Schizosaccharomyces pombe: one gene and its partner. The protein of the gene in region 1 interacts with the protein of each later gene in a pairwise test. Each region holds a gene or a part of one and is shown on either strand. Other genes may lie near its edges.

Evidence for each region.
Region 2: the proteins of erg11 (region 1) and ima1 interact in a protein complementation assay, tested with the Schizosaccharomyces pombe proteins (one large-scale study listed by BioGRID).

The regions. Positions count from the first base shown.
Region 1 is NC_003424.3:572,616-580,766, forward strand, and holds erg11 (sterol 14-demethylase), read right to left. Parts: upstream 4,539-8,151; 5' UTR 4,008-4,538; coding exon 2,520-4,007; 3' UTR 2,037-2,519; downstream 1-2,036. Other genes in the region: putatiRho-type GTPase-activating protein Rga8, read right to left, coding at 1-1,609, 1,654-1,756; protein Mcp7, read left to right, coding at 5,906-5,971, 6,066-6,632; SAGA complex ubiquitin Ubp8, read right to left, coding at 7,105-7,174, 7,220-7,284, 7,338-7,635, 7,681-8,151. UniProt on the Schizosaccharomyces pombe protein: Sterol 14alpha-demethylase that plays a critical role in the third module of ergosterol biosynthesis pathway, being ergosterol the major sterol component in fungal membranes that participates in a variety of functions.
Region 2 is NC_003421.2:1,886,243-1,895,061, reverse strand, and holds ima1 (inner nuclear membrane protein Ima1), read left to right. Parts: upstream 1-4,197; 5' UTR 4,198-4,589; coding exon 4,590-6,437; 3' UTR 6,438-6,959; downstream 6,960-8,819. Other genes in the region: SPOM_SPCC737.04 (uncharacterized protein), read right to left, coding at 1,700-2,965; qcr7 (ubiquinol-cytochrome-c reductase complex subunit 6), read left to right, coding at 7,107-7,520; SPOM_SPCC297.06C (uncharacterized protein), read left to right, coding at 8,408-8,819. UniProt on the Schizosaccharomyces pombe protein: Inner nuclear membrane protein that specifically binds to heterochromatic regions and promotes the tethering of centromeric DNA to the SUN-KASH complex.

The DNA of each region.
Region 1 (8,151 bases):
AGTCTCAACCTGTACGGCGTATCATTACTATGATTCATGTAAATTGAACGAATAAGCTCAAAAGCAGAAGAAGGAACGATGGAATCAGGGAGTTCAAGAAAGTATAGCTTCAAAACTCCTATCACAACGGAGGGAGTATACTGTGATAAAACCTCCTTTGTCACGGATGAAGAATGATTCAACGCTTCTCGAAGTTGATGTACAGAAGACAAGGGAGAATTAACAAGCCATATATTTTGACGAACTTCATCAGAGGCAAGCGTAGGATATAACAGATCTAAATAAGAAAGGATCGTACTAACGATTATGGGAACACGTTTCTTATCTCTATGAGACAAAAACTCAACGTCCACTCCAAAAATCTGATCTTTAATATCATTATAATAATCCTCATATATTTCGACACGAGGTAAAAATGGACCAGTAGCTGCAGACTCTAAAATATACCTAATGTCACTCTCAGGTTGAATTATTTCCTGATAAACAACAATCTGATCAGCCAGCAATTTCATGGAAGGCAAAAAGTTCGAAATAATTGTTGATAAATCCATAAAAAAATCTTTATAATAAAGAACGCGATCGGTTTCACATTTTTGAAGAAATTGCAAATGATCAGCAATAGTTTCTTCCACAAGTGTGCGGCATTTATCAAGATCAACGACTGATTCGCTGTAAATTTTATTTGCATCCAGAACTTCTCTTTTAAGACGTTGAGATTGAGTTTCTGAAGAGTAAAGCTTTCGATGACTTATATAATCAGAAAGATATTCACCAACTAATGGTAAAGCCTTGGCGTTTTCGACAAGACTATCTACACTATTCAGTCCTGCAAACTGGAAAGCCTTGTCTTTCCACTGATAATGGAAGTTGGTACTATTCACAAAACTACCTCCAACGCCCATATGACGCAAAAATCCTTGAGCTATCAAATCTTGTCCAAATGCCTCGGCTGCAACTAAAGTTGGAACAGGAAGATTTTCCTGAAGCCAAGAAACAATAATATTTCCTGAACATGTATTAGGGTAAGTACCTAAGATAGGGACGCGATAATCCTGTAAGGGTATTTCTTGTAATACTTGAGCCAAAACCTCTTTTAACTCCTCAGGCCTAAACTCCATAAAACCAAGTTGAATCAGATCATCATCATTTTCCAACAATGATTGCTGCTGTGGACTAGAAACTGTTGTTAAGTCAGTAATAGCCTCACTAGTAGTTTCATTGGACTCCTTTGATTCTTCTTCATAATCTTCAAGGTTTCTACATTTGTTGTAGTAAGCGCTTTTTGTTTTTTTAAGTGTATAGTATTTCTTTTCATAACTCTTTATTTGATTGGTAAGAACTTGTTGGCTGGTTTGTAACTTCTGAGAATGATCAATAGACATTTTAGAGAAAGGAGCAATAATTAGCGTTTCTAAGTCCTTGGCAATACGAATATGTTGCTTTCCTTGATTAGCAATCTCGGAGCGCAACCCTTCAAAAGCCTTGTTAGAAGTAGCACCGTCTTCTGTATTCTCTGGCTTTTTCCCTTTTAGACATTCTTTCGTTATTTCTTGAAGCTTTTCACCAAATTCCTCATTCGCTTCTTTATATAACTTCAACAAGTTTTTTACTATTCGTTGTTAGAGGAAGTCCTATATTAATTTATTTAAATACCTTGCTCATTCTCTTCAACTCCATTATCCAGGCAATCGAAAAGTTTTTTCACACCAGTCGCGTAGTCTTTACTCCAAAAACCATTTGAAAAGCTCGATATCATTTCAATTCGAGACTGAAACTGTCACAACCTGTCAAGAAATATAGAGGTGGTTGACATGTCTACGCCCTTTATTACTCAACTTAAGTAAATAGCGAATTGCTACGCAGAAAAGTTTTACCCATCAAGGATGCCAAAAGTATCCAGTAAATAAGACAACAGATACGTTACTTGACACACATAAGATAGCATACCACTAATCCTTTATAAAATGTAAACTTCATTCAGTTGAATAGCAGCCTACGCTTTTACCCACTTTGTATTATTAATGCTATGGTTGGATCGATGGTACAATTAAAAACTACAAAATTTTAATTAATAGCTTACTGAGAAACCTTGCGTTTGCACGATGAGGTTTTGAAAAGAGAGAGTAGCGTACTTTATTGTTATAATGCCTACATGAAAACGAAAGAGAGCGTCCCGACGTTATTAAAACTATAATATCGTAAAAATGTATCACTAATGATGACAGGGTAGTTTTCATATCGATTTAGTGCGAGGATAAGGAAGTTTGAAATTGCATAATACATTCTTTTGACATTTGAAATGCTACCAAATAGTCATTTAAAACGCTAAAATATTTACAATTTCATAAAACAATAAAGCACTTAAAATTTAAAATGTCTAGCAAATTTCATGGTTATTCGTTACTCGTCAGATAAAACAAAAACGTTTAACACGGGCATGAAAAGAGAAAGGCGGAACCAAAGTTAGAAACCAATACCATAAGCGTATTGCAAATGCATTCAAATTAGGGGAAATTCCCTTAATTACGACGCTTCCAAGCAATTTTAACAGGACCCAAGGGAAGAGCAACCATACTGGAATAGTCAACGTTGGGAACTTTTCCAATAAGAGTCCAGGTGTAATCGTGTACAAACTTGCTAATAATAGTGCTCAAATGCATGTAGGCAAATTGCTCACCAATGCAACGATGACGACCAGCTCCAAAGGGTAGGTATGGAGAAGCAGCACCCTTTGTAACGAGACCATAACCATAATCAATTTGCTCAGCATTTTCGTCTTCATTGACGCGGTCATTCCAGCGCTTGGGGTCAAAGTCAGTAGCATGAGTGAAGTATTCCTCTTCAGTAGCAGTTAAACCGGGAGCAGCAAGAAGATAGTTGTTGGCAGGGATAACAATCTTTGAACCAGGGACGGGTAAGTCACGTTTGACTTTACGCATATGACTGTGGATAGGGGGATGGAGTCTAAGAGTTTCTTGAATAACATAGTTGAGAAGAGGCATGTCCTTATATTGGTCAAACTTCAATTCCAAGTTTTCACCTACAACACGCTTCTGCTCTTCCCACAACATTTCAATGATTTCAGGTTTGCTACCCAAAAGAGCAAGAACCCAAACGATAGTGGCAGCAGAGGTGTGTTGACCAGCCATCAAAAGTGCAATCATCATACCAGCAATTTCATGTTCCTTCAAAGGACGGCCATCTCTATACTTGCAGCTCATCAAAGTCCAAATCATATCAGTACCAGGATTTTCAGTGCTAGAGCGACGATCTTTAATAATTTTAAGATAAGTTTTTTGCATAATTTTGTGGGCTCTATCACGGCGTCTGTTTCTAGGGAGAGGTAACCAAGGGAAAACAAAGTTAACAGGGCTAAATCCTTGATCAAGGTCATGGTACAAGTCAGCGAAACCAGCGTCAAAGCCCTTGCGAACCTCAGCACCTTGTAAAGTACGAGAAGCAGTGTAAATAGTCATGACAGGCATGGTCTTCAGCAAATCAGCAACGCCTTCCTTACCAGGTCCGAAGTCAGGAGAAGTGCTGAGAAAAGCATCCATTTCGTTAAGAATGAGGGGGACATAAGAGCGGAATTGAGAGAAGCCAAGACCAGATTTGATAAACTTCTTGTGCTCCATAAAAACATGGTTGGGAATATCGTAAACGACATCTTTACCGAATACAGGGGTAGTTAAATGAGAGTAAGCTTCTTCAGCATTCAAATCAGCTAATTTACCGTTAAAGAGGAAATCATTACCTTGGACACCAAGGAAAGCGGTCATTTTACGACCCATGCAAACAAAGGTGAAAACATCACCATATTTGGCACGACACTCGCGAAAAAATACATAAGGGTCCATACCGTATGCGACAGCAGAACCTACAAAGGGTATCCAATGGAAGACAATTGGGGGGCGTTTGCTATTGCGAGAGGTAAGTTGGTTAATAATATAACCAACATACCAAGCCAATGCAATCGATAATAAAATCGAAACTAAAGAGAATGCCATCCTGACTTATGAAAAAAAAAGTAATGCTCAAGTGGGTAAAGCAGGTAAAAAATAATCAGACGAAAAAAATAAAATCAGTCAGTAAAGTAGTAAGGGGTAAGCAGATAGCAACCAAAAACGAATAAGACCAACCAAAAAACAACGACAACAACAACAAATGTGTAACAGATAAAAATAGTTCAACCCTTTGAGCTAATGCAAATAAACTTGAAAAAGAAAAGGAGAAAGAAAAAATGAATTGATTAACACGCAGCTACGAGAACAACGAATGAAACAAATAGAAAAAAGCGTTAAAAACGAAATCGAAAACAGACAATAATATGAAAGAAAAACAAAAAAAAATTACGTTTCCTTTCACTTAACGAATGAGATTGGGATTTTGAAAAGACAATTTTCAAAAACAACGATCGATACAGAAATTTTAGATCTTGTCTTTTTTAAGGTACTTCTACAAGTGAAGAATCGATTTATCTTCTCTTTGACACCAAATACGCTGGTTTCGACGACGATTCAAGCTAACTTGGGTCTCGCGCTGACTGATGGGAGTTGGTAGAATTATATATGCAACATAATGGCCGTGTAACCGTTTGTTTATGCTGAAAATCCGTAAAAAAACATGCTACTTGATCACTTCAAAATTACACTTTTTTATCCAATCATATTTTTCAGATACTACCTTATTGTTCTTTCTGGTCAAGGTGAATTAGCCACTAAGCCAATGAGAAATCCAATTTTGTTACCTGAGAATAGGGCGACATCGTACGATTCGAGGGTTTGTGAGGTGAATGACTGCGGGGCTTATGTTGCGATCGAACGATGGCACGTCCATTGGACCGAGATAATACACATGTTTACCGTAGCTCGTAACGCACATTTAACAAACTACTTGCTTCTACCCTACTTTATCACCTAAAAATAAAAATGTGTCAACATGTGCACGTCTACTATACCTTCTACTATTTGTTCGGTAAACCACCAACCGTGCCTCCTTATACGTCTTCTCCAAACATGTAATTGGATTCGAACAACTTTAGCTCGACAAGTCGTTTAGCTTACGAACATCCAAAAGCTTATCTAATGACCTAACTAACTCGCTCTTTTTGGTCGCATGACTTTGCATACGATTGTTTAGTAATAAAAACAATAATCCTTTTCACACCTGTTTTTACCCATGGGAAAGCGGTTCCCAAAGTTTGTCACTTACTCCCATATTCTAATCTAGATTAAAACACATTTAGCTGCGAACATGGCACACCGGTTAATACCCAGCCATAGTTGAAATTAGTAGACAAATTGACTGAGTATCTCTTATCAAAAGTCAATACACATTTTGTTTGCGCTGACATTAAACATCGTTGCTCTTATGAATGCTATGTGTGTGTGTGTGTGTATGTGGAAATGTGTTAGTCAGTCAGTGTTTGCTTGAAATTCGCTGTGTGAAAATAATAAAGTGAAAAATAAATAAAAGGTTGTAAAACCGAATTCGTACAGTAAGGTGAGCGCCGACAAAAGCTCTTGAGAAAAAAAAAATCATGCTGCTATCAGTATTCGAGTCTTTTCGATTTCGTGGCAAAAGGAAGTTTTCCTCACATGTTTTTGTGCGACAATAGCCAACCCCATTCACTTAATTCCTTAATTTCCTCAAGGGTCAAAAAGATTAGGATAGCTGAATAACGTTTTGCATTGCATTATGTTGCAATACGATAGTAAGACATTATAGGGTATATATCATAGTTGGAAAGTGCGGATGTGCATTTTAGCAGACTACGTTATCATTCAGTAAATGTTTGGGATCTAAACTCTCATTTCTCCAAAAGATTAGAAAGCATCTACTTCTTGCATCACAACAAACTTTTAAACTCCATATTTGTTCAAACTAATTAATAAATTTTTAAACAATGCCTCCCAAGGGACTATCGCTTGCAGAGAAAAGAAGAAGATTAGAGGCCATTTTCCATGACTCTGTAAGTTCGTGATATGATTGTTCAAGTGCCAAAACATGATTTTTGCCCATTCGTGTCTCACTTTCCACATTGCTAATCTATGTTTTTTTTATAGAAAGATTTTTTTCAACTAAAGGAGGTGGAAAAGCTGGGCTCTAAAAAGCAAATCGTTTTGCAAACTGTAAAGGACGTTTTACAGTCTCTCGTTGACGACAATATCGTCAAAACGGAAAAGATTGGCACTAGCAATTACTACTGGTCTTTTCCCTCCGATGCTAAACGTTCAAGAGAGTCAGTTCTCGGATCTCTTCAAGCTCAACTTGATGATTTGAAACAAAAATCTAAAACTTTAGATGAAAACATTAGTTTCGAGAAATCCAAAAGGGATAACGAAGGAACCGAAAATGATGCCAATCAATACACTTTGGAACTGCTACATGCAAAAGAATCAGAACTAAAACTTCTTAAAACACAACTTTCAAATTTAAATCACTGTAATCCTGAAACCTTTGAATTAAAAAATGAGAATACTAAAAAGTACATGGAAGCTGCCAATTTGTGGACCGATCAAATCCATACTTTGATAGCTTTTTGTCGAGACATGGGTGCCGATACCAATCAAATTCGTGAGTATTGCAGCATTCCAGAGGATTTGGACGATCTGCAACTACCGATTTTGTGAACTTGACATGCTTCCTTAATTCAAAGAGTTGTTTTCCTTATTAATATTTTAAAATTTTATACATTTTAACAGTTACATATAAAATAGCTTACTCGACGACAAGACTTAGCTTTTAAAAGATAAAATTATAATTAGTTGGAATAATATTAAACGAAACAAAACAAAAGTCCAAATTCCTCAAACTTATAGTATTTGTTAACTTTGAAAGAAAAAAAGCATGTTTCTTTTTTTATAGTTTTAACTTTTTTTATAAATTTACGTAAGGTCATTAATTAAAATGCGACTGTTGTAACGGTTCCAAATCCAATGCCATTTCTGGCCTCAACAATATGAAATCTAAAAGCTTCTTCATGAGTTAGATTATCGAAGTGATGATGTTTCATAACCACATAAATAAGGAACCTTTGAGTCAATTACTTTACATGGTTCATAATGATTGTTCATGAACGGATATCTGATCGCATAATCTAACTCAATTTTCCGTTTTAACAGTCATTTCATCACTGTATAGGATTTGACGCTCATGGTAAAATAATAGGTAACTATAATCTGGTTAGTATGTAAAAAAATAACAGCAAAGAGCCTACGCTTGAGAATTTAAGACCTCCGATTCCTTTACTTCCACAATTGTGGTGTCATCCAGCAAAAACCACTACAAAAATTAGTAAAAATTTCCATAAAAAATTCAAAAAAAATTTAATATACTTGATTTTGGTAGTATGTATAGGCAATATAGTGCCCTGTGTCGAGAGTTCCTTTATGACACACAACTGAGTATAATTGATAATCCACATCATCTTGATTAAAGTTGTAGCGCATTCTTAAAAATGCTGGATAAGATACTTGCTTATCTATTTTAGTTGACATGGCAAAGTTATTTTGTTCAAATCGTTTCAATTGCATGCAAATAGTTGGAGGTAGTTTGTCAAAGACCAATTGTTTAATAGCATTTTTTGACCCGCAACTATGACAGCTATATTGAACTTTCTCTTTGGAAACAAACCTAAAATAATATTTGTTAAAAAATCTAAAAACGAGCAAATTTTACCTTTCCAAACATCCTTGAAGTGTTGGCTCATTGATGTCTAAACTAATGTCCATCAAAGGATCCACAGCCACCCGCTCCTTCTTGCAATCTAGGCATGTAACAACGTTTTTCAGAGATCCACTAAAAATACGATGAATAGGACAAGTGCACGGCATTGATGTTCCTCCTCCGCTTTCCGTATGCATTTGGTCCAGCAAGTATACAAAAAATTCGTGGCCATCTTGCTGGGAGTAACCACATAAAGATTTGCTGAGTTTCCACATAAGATTTAAGACAGCAGTGGGACCGTAAAAAGTAGATTTGTTTTTAGAATTATAAATAGATGAAAACATATCGTCAATGGCACAAGTCATGCAAGTAGGTCGCTTACAATCAGTAGAAGTATGAAACCCACTGAAAAACAAGTTTCGAACCAATGGATTATGCAAAATACTTTGTAAAATGACGCTCATGAAACAAGTAGCACCCAAG
Region 2 (8,819 bases), on another chromosome or scaffold:
TGAGTAAATTTAATAATCCCTCAAAAACGCTGTAGGAATTTTCTTTTAAAATCAAATATGCACTATGGATCAGAAAAGAAGAGAAATTAGGAAATTTGACACTGAGTTCTCAAAGTTGAATACGGTTCTACGTTTAAGCTTGCTATTAGCGTAGCTTGATACATTGTGTTCAAAGCCGCTGTTAGTTCAAAGAAATTAATCAATGCGTTTGATTCCTGGCTAGGGATGGAACTAGAAGAGCCTGCTAACTTATAAAAAAAATCTTAATTCCAATTCTATTGAAAATTTCTTTGGCTAACTATAATTAGTCCGATGGAAGCAATGTCTTCCCATGATTGCCATTGATTCAATTAACATTATTGCATTTTCAAAAGGTAATAATGCTTAATAAACCCACACATCTAAAAAGAAGTCTTTTTTACCGTGTCGAGAAATGATTTGCCATTATATTGTTTACCTTACAGTGTAAGATAATGAGTAGTTAAGTGGTATTTTGGTGTTCACTATTTGTTGTCCATGCAGTTTGGAACTAATTTAACGATATATAGAACTGCGGCGAGATTTCTAGCGACTTACAACATAGCGGTAAGCGGTATGTTAACTAACAATATTATATTTATTGTTATAAGAAGTCTGTTAGTATCGGTCACCGATATAGCTCATAACTGAACTGTGAAACGAGGTTCAGTAGAAGCTCTATTTACAATCTTACTAATAGTTTTTATCAACGGGTATCTATAATACAATGTAGAGCTTGTGACATATAGAAATACGCAACATGGTGTATCATAGAGTAGTCCAGTATTGCTGTCATTCCTAACAGTCGTTTACTCGTTACGACTTTCATGCTCTCTCTTGTGCTGAAGGCTTGTTTTCTGCTCTATTTTTCATTCAAGACGCTGAAAAGCGAATAGATAGAATGCGATTTAGTTTAAGAGATTTTCGCGGTTCAGGAAAGAAGTTTTCAACATTTTGCAATAGGAATGAATCAGTTCCCAAGTTGAAAGTCATTGGTTTCATTAACTGAGCGTCTCATTTGCAGATATTTCGTTGAATGTCAAAAAGGAAAGAATTAAAGCGATAATTAGTATGCTTTAAAATCCCTCCAATATTTGCAATTAGGAAAATTTTGCCTTAAACTGAATTTCGTACTTTCTACTGCTGCTATAAATGATTATGATCTTTCTGTCTAAAACAACAGGTGCTTGTTTACTGACGCTATACATATCGAGCTTACTTATACATATATTAAGACTTAGGTAAACCGTTTATTTTCACAGCGTCTAAACTGTTTAACGAAATATAGATTTTTAAAGATAAAGCTAGCGAAAAAGGAAAACAGTATAATAATAATAATGAATTATAAGCGGCCATTATCCGAAATGAAATATGAAAATGCAACAAAATAACAGAAAAAAAGAGATGATGAATATAAATACAAAATCGTAAGAGAAGAAAACAGAAGTATGCAAAAATGAGAAATTTAAAGTTGTCGTAAGTAATGGAAAACAGAAAAACAAAAGAAACAAAAAAGCACAGTAACAAAATATTTTAAATTGCCTCGTGCATGACTTAATCTCATCATTTTCATTAATAAAAAGGAAATTCGTGTTAAGACTGCACTAATCTTTTAATTTTTAATTTTTTTTCAATAAACCGAATTTCTTAAGAGAATGCACTTGTGAATATGTAGTATGTATTAAATCCTCATGGGGTATGGGGTAAGATCTGCCTGGAATCCAGCAATGTTATGCCGTAAGTAAAACATTTCTTTTGTTTCCAAGCTATCGAAGCAACCTAGAGGCATGGTAAGATCAAAAAGAGGCTGCATATAACCACTCTTTTTAACATTTTTGAATTCCAATTCTTCGCACACATTAAGGTCCTTTTTGAATTCTTGACGCCATTTTTCCATTACTCGACGCTTGGTGTTCTTTTGAAAAATTTCACAGTCAACCGATCTAGAAAGGAAAGGGCATCTCAGTTCAACAGGCAATACTGTTTCCATCACAGTATTGGCTAGATAATTTTGAATGGGAAACGCACGTGCGTGATTACCTATAGAGAGCATAAACAACAACCATCCAACTTCTTCTTGACTTATCGTTTTGCTTTGGAAAATTGGTTCATTGCTATATTTTGGTAAAGAACTTTTAACACTAACTTCAGGACTCTGCTCCAACTGGATATTGCACATGTAACTTTTGTTGCAAATGGCGGCCCAACTAGTTTGTCCTTGGAATGAATAAACGTCTCCCGGTCGTACCAAGTACATTCTAATATTGCCAATCCGCTTTTGTACGCACCAAAGATGAAATTTCGTGTACTTATTGGAAGTGACCTGCCGGGACACGTAGATGATCATTGCTCTCCATAGGGAGTCCTTCATGTCGTCAGTGTAATAATCGTATAGTAAAACATGTCGAATTAATACTGGCAAGCTATAGTTGCCGGTAGAAAAATGCATCGAAAGGCTTAATCCATCTACTCGATTCTTCTTTAAAAAAGCCCCTAATCGTTTCTGCACCAAAGGCATATCTACTTTGAACTCGTACACCTGTTCCTGCATCGGTGAATATTCAGAAGACACTTGCTCAACACTTTTGAGATATAGTTTATCCTGTCGACGCATAACAATATCCACTAACCCCCCTAAAAACGGATTCTTTATGAGACCTTTATTTCTCCCAGACACTACTACGATACCCAAGCTTTTACCTGTTAAATTCTCGATGGATAGATTACGATCCAACTTGGATAACCAATCCTGACTCGTAACATTAATATTCACATCGCCCGTAGCCTTAGCAGGACTGTTGTACTCGGCTTTGCGAGATTGATAGCCCGGATCCGATTTAAAAAACTGCTGGATTTTCCTTGTAGTCTTTCTCAAGAAAGAGTTTTCCTGACCTTCATCATCAACTTCTCTCAAAATATCCAAACCCGATTGATTAGATATCGACATATTGTCGAATGTCGGTAAAATACTTTGAAACTTTTAAAACTTCGAGAATCGTAGAAAAGAAGAAAAAGGATACCAATATCCAGAATCTCAAAACCACAGTGCGTCCAACTTAAAAATAAAAGGTAATGAAATGAAGTAAAAAAAAAAAATTATTAAAATTTGGTTCTTTCCAAAGGGCTTTGTTTCCTGTTAAATACTAAATATGAAATCGTTTATCTTAGCTTAGCCATTTTGCCATCTTCATCATGCTTTTCCTAACAACGCTCCCCAAGCCACGTAAAACATCAACTTTCGCAACTCGTCCTATTTCAAGTTTACGAAGACATCCAATTTCCTAATCGTCTCTACCCTATAATATTTTGTATAATCATGGTCTAAGCCATTTCATCGTAGCGATGAGCCTCTCGTAAGTTAATTAATGGCGCAGCATATCAATTTTAATCAACTTGTAATAGAATAGAGATGATCATGCTGTCTATTGCTTATAGTTACAAGACTAGATTTCCTTTCTCAACATGCAATAAGGATTGAAAAGTAAAAATGAACTACTTGTATGAAATTTTCGTTTTCGTGCTTAATTCATGATTATGACCTTTTGGAGTCAGTGACATACACCGTTTCCATTGACAGACATTATTGAATTTTTTTTTTACAATGGGGCAACAGTCAATGTTGGCGCAAGCTTAAGATGCAAATGCAATCTTTCATTTAAAAGCGGCTTGTTTCATCAATACATTTGACATTTAACGATGGCTTGTAGGCATTGTTGTAGACATCCACTCAGCCTACATTTTGTCAATACTTTTCTACACAACTTCTCAAACTCGTTCCTTTGTAGCTTAAAAATTAAGCGAACTTAAAAACTATTAAACTTTTTGTTAAACGAATTATTTGCATAAAATACCAAAAAGATTTTTTGTTGACTTTCACCTAACAAATTAAGAGCGGTTGGTTTTATTAAAAAGAAAATTTATTAAGATATTTCTCATTGCATTCCACTTCAATGCGTCGTAGAGCATATCATAAGTAAGGCTCTAAAAATAAGCCACAAACACTGATCGTTCTTCTGGTACAATGGTTCAAATTTTTTTTTTCTAGGAAGCTCGAAAAAGAAAATACAAACAAAAAAAAATTAAACAGCTCATTTCTTCAAAAACTCCTTTTATCCTCAATTTGTTTGAACTTTGTTCTGACAACCCGCTACGAATTGGCTTGGGACCCTGCTGACGGTCGGCCTTTTCCCTATTCTCACCACGAGCACCGTGGGGAAACTGTATAGTCGAAATCTTCGAGTTTTCTTGCTCAACATTTCAAGAAAACTTTTATACTATTCAAGTGTATCTAATTGTTACTTCACTCGTTATTTAGTACTTCTCTTTTACTTTGTCAAGCAGCACAAGTGTTTGATAAAGGTCATTCTGTATAAGGGGTCCTCTGTACCATTACACCTTGTACCTTGATATAAAAGATATTTACATGCATTTTATTTCCGTTAACTCACAGAATATCAGTTGTTTGGTTTTCTTCTTACGTGTGCTGGTTTGACTTGTTGTTTCCCTTTTTTTTTTTAAATTTGCACACACAGGATTCTATGAGAACTTTGCATTAAATGGTATAATGGGAAATGGAATCTAGCCGATTGTTTACACTTGGATTGGGAAATTCCGATGATGGATTGAAATCCACTTTTGGTGATAAAACAGTAACTTGTTTTTATTGCAACAAGAAGAAGGAAAAAATTAGAGACGGAACGTCTACTTGGACTTGCTCAATTTGTGAAGCCACCAACCATATTGATGAGAAAGGTGATATCCTGGATTATCGACCTCCAACCCCAACTCAAGACAAGGGTGTTGGTCCTTTTTACGCGATACGGGATTTCCCAAGCAGTTCTTCCTTTCAGAGCCCCTTTTGTGAAAAATGTCAAATGAACCAACTGATTGTGAATCGGATGCTTGCTGATTATCTGCCAGACTCATCACATCCAGATTATCAGGCTTATGAGAAGGCATTACCAGAGTATAAAAAATCTATAGAAGAGAAATTTCCCATTGTTTGCTCTGAATGCTATGACTCCGTTCAAGACCAACTTGATGCCAATGATTATGAAGCCAAAAATCAGGTTTTAGGATATTGGCTGCAAAAGTCAAAGGAACAGCTAAACGCAAAAGTCCCCCATCACTATCCAAAAGCTTCTTTTGTTCTTTGGTTACTTCGTGGATTTGGTTTTTCGTTTTTCTATTTGCAATCGATTGTGTGGCATTTGTATCATTCTATGATAATAAGCTTATTACCAGATGGTATTCGTAATTTATTTCTAAAAGCAATCTCTTACTTCCTATTAGATGGATCCTCTAGCAAAATTTTTTACTTTAATTGGCTTGGTTTTTTCGTTGTCTTTTGGAACCCGTATTGGTACAAAATGATGGACAATCCATCTTGGGAGCTTTTTGGGCGGGATCAGTATATCCAATGTCAGGCACTTTATCTTATTATCCGTTTAACTTGCTTGTATCTCCTTTCATGTTATGAGTCGGAAATTTTGAACTTAAGCTCGGATACCAATCTTGAAAGTGATTTTTTACTCCGTCAAATACATGCAGCCTTTTTCTTTGTTACCATTTGTTTTACATGGATTAGCATCTCATGTTTAAAGCCAAGTCCTCCTCCAGAAGTTCATTTGACTGGCGAAATTTTGAAACCACGCAAGAAGCGTCAGGAAAGTACATCTTCTGTGCATCGGATAGGAAAGGAATCGAGTGACAGAAAAGATGGAATTAGTGGGCAGAATAAATTGCAGCAATTTGCGACAATTTCAATTCTGAATAATACCAACGCAACGTCTCATTTGGGAAATCAGTCTGTTCGTGAGAGAGCTCCGGAGGAATCCCCTATGACTTTTCTTCAAAAAAAAATGGCCGCCCTTCCAACATCTAGTCCTGTTCGACCGATGCTTAAACCTACTCTTCAGCTTCAAAATTCTCCTTTATCGAAACTGGTTCCTCAAGAAGTGGGCAACAAAGTAAACGATTCTATTCATACGACGTCTAATCAGCCAAGTAAATTTTCCCTGAACCCTTCCATATCTCTAAAAGGTGATAACGTGATAGAGAAGAATTTACCTTTTTCCGTGTCTACTTTAAAGTCCACTGCAAAGAAAGATACTGGTAAAGCAGGGGATGGTCAAAATCGCGAAATTCAAAATGAGCCAGTGAGCCTTGAAAGTCATTTTAGTAAGTCTTTAGCCCTTCAGAACGATCCAACAGAAGTTATTCAGGTGAAAAACGTTCTTCACCGGAATCGTCGAAATGCAAAGCTTCTCATTGCTTTCACAATTTTGTTCCTCGTTGGGTTAATTTGCGGATGGCGTTTGAATCGTTTTACTATGTTCATTTACTATTTATGCATATTGGTGTTAGCCACATATTATGTTATGAAACACAACTTTTATCCTTTAAGAAAGGTGGCTTGATCTGGTTACTATTTAAAGAAGTGGATGCAAAGTAATATGGAATATATTCTTTTGCAAACCAATCATTCATTAATTTATCCAATTTTGGAATAAATTTCGTTACTAATATTGCCAGAGGCGGTTATGTCGCTATCATTTGTTTAAAGTTTTTCAGCTCCTTTCTGGCAACTCGACATATTCGAGCTAGCGCATTCGCACAAATGGGATCCAATATAAATTTACTTTTTTTTTCCTATTAAAGCTATATAATTAAGTATTTTTCATACTAACGAGTTTTATTTGATAAATTTCATTCGTTTCAATAGGTTAGTACTGAAAGAGAACATGTAACCTGAGCAAACTTCTGGTTCATACGAATACTAGCAATGGTGCATTCCCGAATATATGTTAGACACGTCGTTAAATTAGTTTAGGTTATAAAATCGTTAGAGTTAAACAATAACTTAAGAGAAATGAGCCGAGAATACTAGGATATTCAGATTTTCATTACTTTCTAATTCCGCTCAGGATTCTATGTGCAGGTAACATCAGGTGACCGAAGGATTCATTGGCATACTATAGGGCCATGAGATCTTACCTTCTTCCAATATTCAAAACTAAGAGTTTTATTGATTTCAGTGCAAATTTTGTAGTGACGAAATTTTTTTTTGCTGAAGTGATTGTTTAAGTATGAAACCTGTGTCTCTTGCCAAGTATATTCAAAAATCACCATTTTTGACGAAATTGCTTTTACCCATCTCCAATGCCTATGTGCATTTGTCAGGATACCGTAAATATGGTCTTCGATACGACGATTTGATGTTGGAGGAGAATGACGATACTCAAAAGGCGTTATCTCGTTTGCCTAAGATGGAATCCTACGATCGAGTCTATCGTATTCGCCGTGCCATGCAACTTAGCATTGAGAATAAAATTTTGCCAAAATCTGAATGGACAAAGCCTGAGGAGGATTACCATTACCTCAGACCTGTTTTAGCTGAGGTTATCGCGGAGAGGAAAGAGCGTGAGGCCTTCGACGCTCTCATTGTTAAGAAACCCGAGACTCAAGCCCATGCAACATCTTCTCCTGCTCATGCTCATTAAAAGTTTGCATGTCCTCCTTTAATCCACTTATTCCTCTCATGAAAACCGACAAGAAAATTAAAAGAGTAGTAAACGGATGTGAGAATTTTATTTTCTAAGTAACCCCCAACTCCAATTTCTAAAAAGGAAGACAATTTATGCACGTATCTTATTTCATCGGTTATATCAGTCGACAAAGTACGTGGAAACGAAAGTTTTTATATTGCTGTTTATCTGTACTTTGACTTTACTATGTGTGCGATTAATTTTCTACGCCGCTCTGTTTTTGCTTTGCTCTATTTTAACTACTGGTATATCTCCCATCTCTTTGACCTCTCCTCTCTATGCTTTCAGTTTTCATATTTTAATTGAACAACGATTTTTTCTTATTTTTTATTTTTTGTAGCTGCTTTTTCCTTGACTGTTATCTTTGAAAGAGAAACAATTTTTTTGTTTCTTAGTTTCGCTTTCTGAAGATGATTTTGCAATTATTCTCTCGCTGAATCAATTATAGCTAATGGTTGGTATAACATAAGTTAGTGAACAAAACATTGTAAGGCAAACCAACTAATGTAGTATTTTTTTTAAATCGTGATATCAAATTTTAAACTTGTTAAACAGACAAACTTATTTTGAGAAATTTTATGACAGTTTGGCATTGTATTTATTGATTTAATTAAGCTTACTCCTATTTGACTTTAGGCATACTCTTCCTTGTACGACTTCAAGCTCATGAGCTTTTCACTATCTGAAATGTTGTACCCAGAGTCATAATATATGAACCTCCGATCGACGTAAAGTATTATTGAATTTAATTTTATTTATTTCCGCGTTTGTTTAACTTGTTTGAGGAACTTGAAAAATTACAAGAAAATCATGTACAATTTTGTTCGAAATATTTATTGAATATGCAGGGGAAAATCAATTATAAAGACATTACTCAGAAAGAAATGTTCAATGAAATATTTAAAGAATATGTTAAGGAAGAGAAGCAGATCGATTTGGGTACTTGTGATCAAGATTCTGTACACGACCTCTGGCGACGCTTTGTAAAAAGATGGAATGATGGAAAAATGAAAAGTAAATGGTATTCGTTGGGAAAGAGAATATCTCAACCCTCTTATGCTCGTCTTGTAGGTCCAAGTCGACCAACTTTGGAAAATTTACAAGATCGACGAGAATTGCAGGAGCAATTAAACGAGTTGAGAAAGCTATCCCGAAAATCAGCTTTTAAATCGCAAGCTAAAAGGGAGACAGAATTGTTGGATGAAATTCTTCCAAAAGAACCAGCAGGAAGCAAAGAAGCTATGCAACAGAAAA